Neodiprion lecontei: one gene and its partner. The protein of the gene in region 1 interacts with the protein of each later gene in a pairwise test. Links are inferred from orthologs where the notes say so. Each region holds a gene or a part of one and is shown on either strand. Other genes may lie near its edges.

Region 1 (4,724 bases):
TTGCCTCGTGACTCTTCGCCTCCGGGCGAGATGTATGGCCCCGGAAAACAGGAGCATACAAATCCGAAACGCTGTTATTAGAGATAACTTATTCGCCCCGATATCCTTGCTCGGAACCGACGTTAAGCTTTCGCCGGGAGGCGTTTTGGAATCGCGACAATTTCCTCTCAATGGAACTCGTAAAGTCCTGAAAACCGTCCGTTGAATATCACTGGAGCATCTCCGAGCAGCCTATCCTCGCAGCAATATCGACCCACCGTGGTACATGATTATCCTCACTGATTCGGAGTCATTAAAGCACACATGTGCTTCGCTGAAGGTACGCAGAAAACCCATTAATTCGAGCAGCTCAACGAATATCTGCAAACGCGTCCCGAGCGCGGATTCGATACGTCTTCTCTGGAAGAATAGCACCGATCCAGTAACTCCGTCTAAGCCGGTGCACGTAATTGAGTTTGAGAACTTTGTTCCTCGGCTCGAAACGCACAGTAAAGCAAAAACGAACTCCGTGTAGCTGCCTAGTTCCGAGCCAACCGGGGAGCAAGAAAAGGCAGCAAAAAACTACGGCTGAGACGAGCCAGATCACGATCTAGGCGGCATGTTAGATCACGAAGGGGCGGCTCAATTAATCCAATTTTCATCTTTTCGCACTCCGGACTCGTGCAACTCGACGTTTCAGTGTTTCACCAGATCCTAATTGTCGCGCTCGAAAACGGCGAATTTGAAGTTAAGACAGACTTTAAACGTCAGCCCTGAGCAACGTTGACGGTGGGCTTTGTTCGCGGGTGGATGTATTATACAACCTTCGCAACGAACAATCCGCGGGACCGAATCGACCTATTTCTATTCAACGGCCATATCTCGCCGGAAAAAGGCATCTCGACTCCGCTCCAACCGACGCGGTTTCATTTTCATTCTCATTCTCTGCATCTGGCTCAAACCATCTCACATACGTGCGCTAAGCTGGTACAAGTCGCATAGTGTGTTGGTTGATCAGTGCGACCTATTTCGCATCGGTTGCCCGTTGTATCAAAGAGAGTCCCGCAAAAATGGAACAATCCAATTCCTCCTTATCTTTCTCCTCTTATCGGCACTTCGCGCTTCTCGTTTTTTCGAGCGAACGTATAAGGCGGTATTGTGATGAATCCCAGAAAAAATCCCATTGCGATGCCCAGATACTTTTACTCGTTGGTGAAAATTTTCAACGTCAAAAACGATCAATCAAGTAAGGTATAATCGTCGTACGTAGAATGCAACTTGAGGTCCACACGTGCCGAAGAATGCACCGAGATCTTTGCGCGACGTTGCAATATTCTTATTATGCGAATACGGCAGGTGCAGAGTGCAGTTGCTGTTTCAGTACCTTATGCATCGCGTTAACGAGCAACTGCCGGTAGAATTTATTCCACCCGGACAACAAGCCTCGGCCTTTTTCATCGGCTTATAAACGCTATAATACCTCGATGATTCTTACGTACGATATGCAGGGAGTTGACAATACATGCCAATTCTGATATCAATCCACAGCCTCTCTGTCAAACTATCGGATATCACGATGATAATTATTTCCAGACCACCGTAAAGTCCTGGCCAACTTATAATCGGCGGAAAACGAAATTTTTAAGAAACGCGAAAGAAATTCAATCACATTTAGGGAGCGTTCGGACTAACGATGTCCACTTCAGATAATTGACTACCGTCTAACAATGGTCGTCGGCAAACTCGACTAAATGAACGATACCACTTGTTCAAAATGACTCGGTTGTCGGTGTAAAAAAATGTTATTCTGCTATTCTTTCATTCAGGGCATAATACCCGAGCACGCGTAACAGTTCCGAAAGTAATATCCTTCCCAAATGAGCCTCGTAATCAATTGAACTCTGACCAACCGGCGAACCTTTCACGATTCTTCGTCTACAACCGAATCATTTGCAGAGCAACGCTTATATCACTATACACCTTAATAATAGACAATACGTCTGACGTTCGAGTAGATTAAATTCAAATATATCATGATATCACGGCTCACCTAGACCCATCTTTCGTTTAAGCTTCTTGAGGACTTTCATCTTGCTGCGTAAGGGCGCCAACACGCCAACGGTATCGGCACCGTTCTGATGATGATGGTTGTCGGTTGTTTTGCTGTTGTGGTTGTTGTTGTTGTTGTTGTTGTTGTTATTGTTATTGTTGTTGTTATTATTGTTGTTGTTGTGTCCGTGGTGGTGGTGTTGGTGATGATTGTGGTGGTGTTGGGACGAAGCACTGGCGTTCGCGCTGGCCGCGTGACTGCAGCAGTGACAGGGATGACTCCTACTGCTCGCGGAGCGCACCGCGCAATCACCGGACACCCCCATTAATGGAGCCGTCTTTAACTTGAAGAACTCGAAGAGACGACGTCGAAACAGCGTGCGATATATGTATATATATATATATCAATATACGATTCAATACATGTATACATACATATATTGGTTAGACCATGTATACATATGTGTGTATGTAGCTTCACCAAACAAGAGGATACATACGAATAAACTCTCCCGGCACTTTATAGTTACGATATATCTCGTTGGCACCAGTTTCGTTCTTGTATCGTTCGCGTGACCGCTCTCGTAACACGCGGTAAGATTTTTCGACACTTTTTCCTTATATTTTACCACTGTGTACGTGTTTACAGGTATTACCGAGTTCGACCGACGAATATATAATTCCAAGTATATATGTGTATATAGTTATATATATCCGTTTTATTACGCGTATGTAACGTAGTTGGTATTATCTTGACTAGATTAAAGAGACGAGTTGTTTCTTTTCTCTCGGGTAATTCCTTCTTCTTCTCTTCCGTCCTATCGCGGTAATTTATTTTTTTTTCCCCCCGAAATCGAGACAGAGTCTCCTTTACCGAAAACGTTACGAGAATTTAACTAGTTCAACGACGGAAACGCGCGTTTCATGCAAACTCAGCTGTAACAAGTACTACCGAATTAATTTCCTACGCGACGTTCTCAACGGCGAAGACGAGGAAGGAGTTGAGAAGAAGAAAAAAAAAAAAAAAACTATGCGGACGAGGCCGCGGCGCGCACCCAGCGAGATACCGTGCACGAGGAGCTCGGAACACTCGCTTTCTGTTCGAGCGCTCGCAGCGAACTGAAGGATCCTCGACGCTGCTCCCGGGGTATCGCCGAGGCGCGCGCGAGCCGCCGACCAATCGGAAAACGGCTCTTCCCCCACCCTGTCGCAGGGGTGTTCAGGGGTGAACCGCACCTGGTGAACAGCTGCCCTTACCTGGGCGCACCCGGCTGCCCCTCGGAGGTGGCGTAGCGGCTAGGTGCCACCCAGACTCCCTGGTTCGGTTGCCCGCCTGCCTGCCTGCCTGTCTTCTTCTTCTTCCTACCCACACTCGCCCGAATAAGCTGTCCCGAGTATGGGTAGGTATCGAGACGCAAGCTCCGGCCCCGCAGCGCCCCGGGATGACGATAAGAAGAAAGCCTTTGGACCGCCGCAGGTCGCGTGCCACGCGTCGTGCTTCGTCTCGACGAAGATCGATACCATTCACGTCTTTGCGAAGAACCTCGAGTCGAGCGTCTTCGCGTCCCTTTACGGGTTTGTCGGGGGTTAACGTCCCGAGGTACGATAACTGCGAAGTGTACACGGATCGAGATTTTTAGGCTCATTGATTGCGGTTGTCGTTAATGTACCAACTTCGGTGTTGTCAGGAGGAAGCGACGACTCCGAGAATCAGCGCTACGAAATCTGCATGAATTGCAATTCTTTAACCGGTTTTAAGAATCTCTGATTCTGGCAATCGTCAACGGGTGAATTCAACTCCGCACTGCTCAGGATAAGCTATTTCTGCCCGCAGTGTAATTCTGCGCCGAGGATAATCGGAACAGGAATTATTTGTAGTGCCTATCTACGGTATCACCTTTTCGACTCAAACTTTCCGATCCACCATTCATTCTCGGTCGAATAAACCGGTCGTTTTATTGCATTTTGAATTTAATTGGGGATTCGAGTAGATAACGTGATAGCACTGGTACAAAAACGTAATCTGAGAAGATGAAAAAATTGATTCCCGTTTGAAAGAAAGAACTTTTGAATCACGAGTAAGCTTTCAAACGGAAAAATCTATTCCTTGGCAAGAATCGTTCGATTAATTTGGCAAGGCGCACTCTGCTCTATTTCGACTTCTGCGTCCAGAGTTTGGGTTTGTCATGGGACGAGGCTGGTCCTGCGAGTCTCATGGAAACTTGATCCGGTCTCTCGGCCTTGTCGCAAACGTGCGAAAGAGATACTGTAGCTATCGCGTAACGCTACGGCGATTCCAGCACCGGACTGATTCGATCGTGACGATTTCATCCGCTCGGGCGTCTGGCTCTGCAGGAAAAGCAGACTAGATACTACTCGATTCACAGACTTGATTTTGTGAAGAATTAAGGTGTGTATAATTTTGAGGAATATAAGGGTGTCCCTGGGACAAGATCTCTGTCCTGAAAAGGACGACAGTGTCCTCCTCCATCAGGTAGTTCGGAGCCGTTCAAGTGAACGAATTGAAGAAAGTTACACAAAATTGAAAGCGAGGTGAGGTACCCCTATGTGTTTTATGGGGGCGCTTTTGATATTGTCGATGAAGCGATAAGACGAGAGCACGTGAAACTTCCAAATACGACGCGTATCGTATCGGCTTTAATGACTAGAATTCATCTCGCATGCGGGTTATGCAT
Region 2 (4,100 bases), on another chromosome or scaffold:
GACGACGAAGAGAATATTATTATCGTTTCTCACTATCGGTTTTAACGATCTTCGAACACATGTTAATAAATAATTCCCAACCAATGTATGACAATCGAAGAACATCCGGACGTGAAAAAATATCCCTCGTTACACCTGCTTTTTAATTTTTCAACGACGTTACGTTTCAAGGACCGAGTGTCTGGTAATTTAAAACGTTTGTCACGTTCTAATATCAAGTATAAAAATAAATAAATCGTTGAAAACCGTATCGATCGGCGGTAAAATGACAACCGCCTGAATCTCAGTGGTGAAGAAATAATCGATCCTTGAGATCGCAAGCGTTCGTAAAACCCAACCTAAAACTAACCTCGGGCAAACCTCGGAGGCTTGGACAGGTTCTTAAAAACTGTTTTTTTTTTCCCCGCAGGAGTCGGTCGGGTTGGGGACGCGGCCGTGACGTGGGATAATTTCAATAAAAAGATAATTACCGCTGAGTGAAAAAAAACTGTCGACCTTTTTTACGATCCTCGGCGTCGCGTCGCGGCAAAGAAAAGAGTATCGAAAACTAAGCGGCAGTGCATAATGTACCGAGCAATTCGCAAAAATAGTAATTTTCGAACAATAAAGTCTGCCAAATATTAAAATTTCCGTCCAAAACTTGCTCAAAGTCGTATCGGAGGCATGAATTGAGTAATTGAAGAGATCAGAGTTGGAATTGAGGAGAGCGGAACTTTTATAAAAGCGTATGAATGGTACAGTGGCCATAAATGGTGCATTCGCCTTATGTTAAACATGGAAAGTTTCGAAGATAAAAATTGTGGGCATCGGTAGATGGAGAAAGGTCGGTTTGACCCTCGGCCAAAGCGAAGGAAGAGGGCTTCTCCTTCTCCTCCTCATCCTCCTCCTCCTCCTTCTACTCTTCTTGCACAGCGAAGTGGTCCCTGACCTGCCTGAACCTTACTGGAACAGGGAGTGAAAAGAACTAAAATATCTCCGGAGGCTAATTACGAGAGGTTGGACCTAAGGCGCAAACCACCCGAGCGCATGACCGAGATTAATTATTCTCGAAGAGCTCTTCTCTGATGGTGCAGAGAGCGACAAGTCTGCTCGGGTCTGCCAAAGTGATCCGAGTACTGGCAACTTCACGGAATATGAAAGGCGGTCAAGCATGGGGCTTGAAGAAAACAACGCGGAACTGAACCGAGCGGGAATTCACTTGGGGATCAAGTCGATCACTTGGATTCATCGGTAACGTTGACATTCGAGTGATTGTACCAAGTCATTTCCATTGATCTTCACGGATTAGACAGAATCACAGGGACTCGTGACGAACCGTTGGAAATCACTCGTTACACTGGAAGAGTGAACGCAAGCACTTGACAAGGTAGAAGTCCATGTAAACTACTCAGCATCGATTAAGACCATTTATCGATCGCTGAACGACTTGCGCCGTTTGATTCCAAGCGATTGTCAGTGATTTCCACTAAGATCGAACGATTCTTCTTGGTTTCAAAGAACACGCGTAAAGTCAATTCGCAATGTAATTTCCAACGGTCGAAGGAACGTCCCCTCGAATCGTATCGAGAAAACACCCCAAAGAAAGTCCAGCCCTCGACCTGTTTCGACAGGTCTCTTTCTTCGGCCGTAGGGGGAAAGCGTGTCGAGACTCGCAGCAAGGGATCTTCCTCCACCATCTTCGTGTAAGCCATCAGCTCCCGGGTGAATTTTCTCCTGATTTAGTCGGGGGTGGGGCGAACGGGGTGGCGAGTCTCTGCCAGGGTGGACTTGAGCGAAGAACGCGGGGGGAGCCGAGGACGACGGCAGATGGTCGACGTGGACCCTGGGAAGCTCGGAACACGGAGAGTTCCCACAGCCAAGGCGCACCTGCCTCCCCCACCAGCTACCCCGTGACGTCACAGGGCTCTATATAACCGGCGGGGTGGCTGGACCAGAGCACATTCGCTGACAAGCCTCAGACGAGACGAGACTAGCTACGAAAATTCGGTATAACAAAAAAAAAAAAAAAAAACGCGCTGCGAATTAAAACGACATCGCAACTTTACGTACACAGTAGTAAACGCTCTGAAGTGTGACGGTATATAGAGACACGGTGTGCGAGAGTATACATATATATATCCAACAACAACAACGACGACAAAGAAAATGGCGGCAACAACGATCAACAGCCACGTGTTCGAGTGCGATAACGAGCTGAACGACAATCTGTACAACATCAAGTTGTCGACCAGCAATAAGCAGACCTCAAGTGCTCGACGAGTAAAGAAGATCCTGAAGCCGCTTTTGAGACTGCTCAAGAAGTCCGGAGGCGGTAAGAAGAGCGCCAAATCGCTCAAGGGACAGCAGAGGGCTCAGCCTCAGGTGGAGGTCTTCACCGAGGAGGTAGACAACCAGAACAATGCCAACGAGGCACTGGAACAGCGGCTTCTAGCCGGCCTGGAAGAAGCCGAGGAGGGAGCAGCCATCACCGTTTGCCTCGATGGTCAGATGACCGTCGTTCCCGTGGTACCCGGACAGTGTTACGTTCCCGTTCACTTCGCCCACACCCACGCCGGCGACTTCTACTGGACGACGATCTCCCTCGCCGACAGTGACCTCTGCTACAAGGAACGAGCCTTCTCCCAGAACCAGCAGCCCGAGATGCAGGTCGCCTAAGTGCGATGGGTTCCATGGGTTTAAGCTCCGGTTCAAGTTCCAGTTTCGCGGAAAGCTAAAAAAGGAGACTCATCCCGACCTCGACATTGATTAAAAACGAGGTGCAACCGGGATGCGGGAAGAAAGAAGAGAGAAGAGTAAAAACGAGAGAGAGAGAGAGAGAGAGAGAGAGAAAGAGAAAGACTTTATTTAGACGTAAGATAATTATTTCAAACTGTGATTAGTAGTTTAAACGATTATTGTTACGATTACTGTTCGTATTCGAGTTACTTGTTACTTGTATGTCTATCTGATATTTGCTCAATTGAAAGAGAGGAGAACCGTTTTGCGGGATTCGATTATTGGGCACGATCTCGTACAGCATGTTTTGCAAAACAACTGTCGAGATTTGTGATATACAAATTCCTTCAAAATTTGAATATTTTTTTTTTTTTCTTCATTTTTCATGGTACAACACACGTATACGGTTAAAGTATTCCTTTCATGCGATTAGTGCGATTATTTTTTGTATAATCTTGTTTCTGCATGACGACAATTTCATTCGCACCTGTGATATTCGTACCTAAACACTTGACTTTTAGAGTTATAATTATTTAGCTTTAAGTTTCACTATTGTTGTAATATTGTAACATGCGCGCACACACACACACACACACACACACACACACACACACACACACACACACACACACACACACACACACACACACACACACACGCACGCACGCACGCACGCACGCACGCACGCACGCACGCACGCACGCATATTGTGATATCGGCTTTAAAATCCTGTAGAAGGAATAATTCGATTGATCGACCATTCAGTCGCCACATTTTATAATTAAATCTAAATATTAAGATTATATTATATCAAATCATATCGTCTTCCAATTTTATCGTATTACAACCACAAGTGGAAAAAAAAAATAAATTATACTATTATTTTCTCAAAAAATATTATTTTTCTACTTATTTATTTACCATCCAAGTATCTTTTTTATAACATATACCCAATTTCCTTTGAAATAAATTGCCATTAGAAATTAATTATAGATTATAATTTCAAAAGTATATTTATAATAAAAGCGATAATTGAATTCAATTGACTAGTTAGTGATCTAAAAATCACTCAATCAATCATTCGTATATCACTATTTATAAAAAAAATTCCAACAGTGCAGTTCACCTGCAATTTTGAAGAAAAATTTATTCCCCCCGAGGTTTTTAAAATAGTTAAGTGACTAGCCTAGGCTGACCATATTTTACAAAGAATCTTCGGCCGTTGCGACGATTCTTTCACAATGTGGAACCGGTCGAAGAGTAGAAACGATAAAGAATAGAAGAAAACCTCGAGATCCTTTCAGCCCCTCGCTCGTATATTTGCTCAAGGTTTTTAGGTCCGAAGGGTCTTGAAAAATTTCAGCGTCAAAATCCACCGGCTAAAG

What was found.
Region 2: the proteins of protein neuralized (region 1) and enhancer of split malpha protein-like interact in a two-hybrid assay, tested with the Drosophila melanogaster proteins (2 studies listed by BioGRID). The link is inferred for Neodiprion lecontei from reciprocal best matches to the Drosophila melanogaster genes neur and Tom.

The regions. Positions count from the first base shown.
Region 1 is NC_060265.1:21,860,420-21,865,143, forward strand, and holds the start of protein neuralized, read right to left. Parts: upstream 3,050-4,724; 5' UTR 2,355-3,049; coding exon 2,030-2,354; intron 1-2,029. UniProt on the Drosophila melanogaster protein: Involved in neurogenesis. Interacts with other neurogenic proteins in the specification of the neuroblast versus epidermoblast cell fate.
Region 2 is NC_060260.1:38,440,661-38,444,760, forward strand, and holds enhancer of split malpha protein-like, read left to right. Parts: upstream 1-1,967; 5' UTR 1,968-2,145; coding exon 2,146-2,655; 3' UTR 2,656-3,544; downstream 3,545-4,100.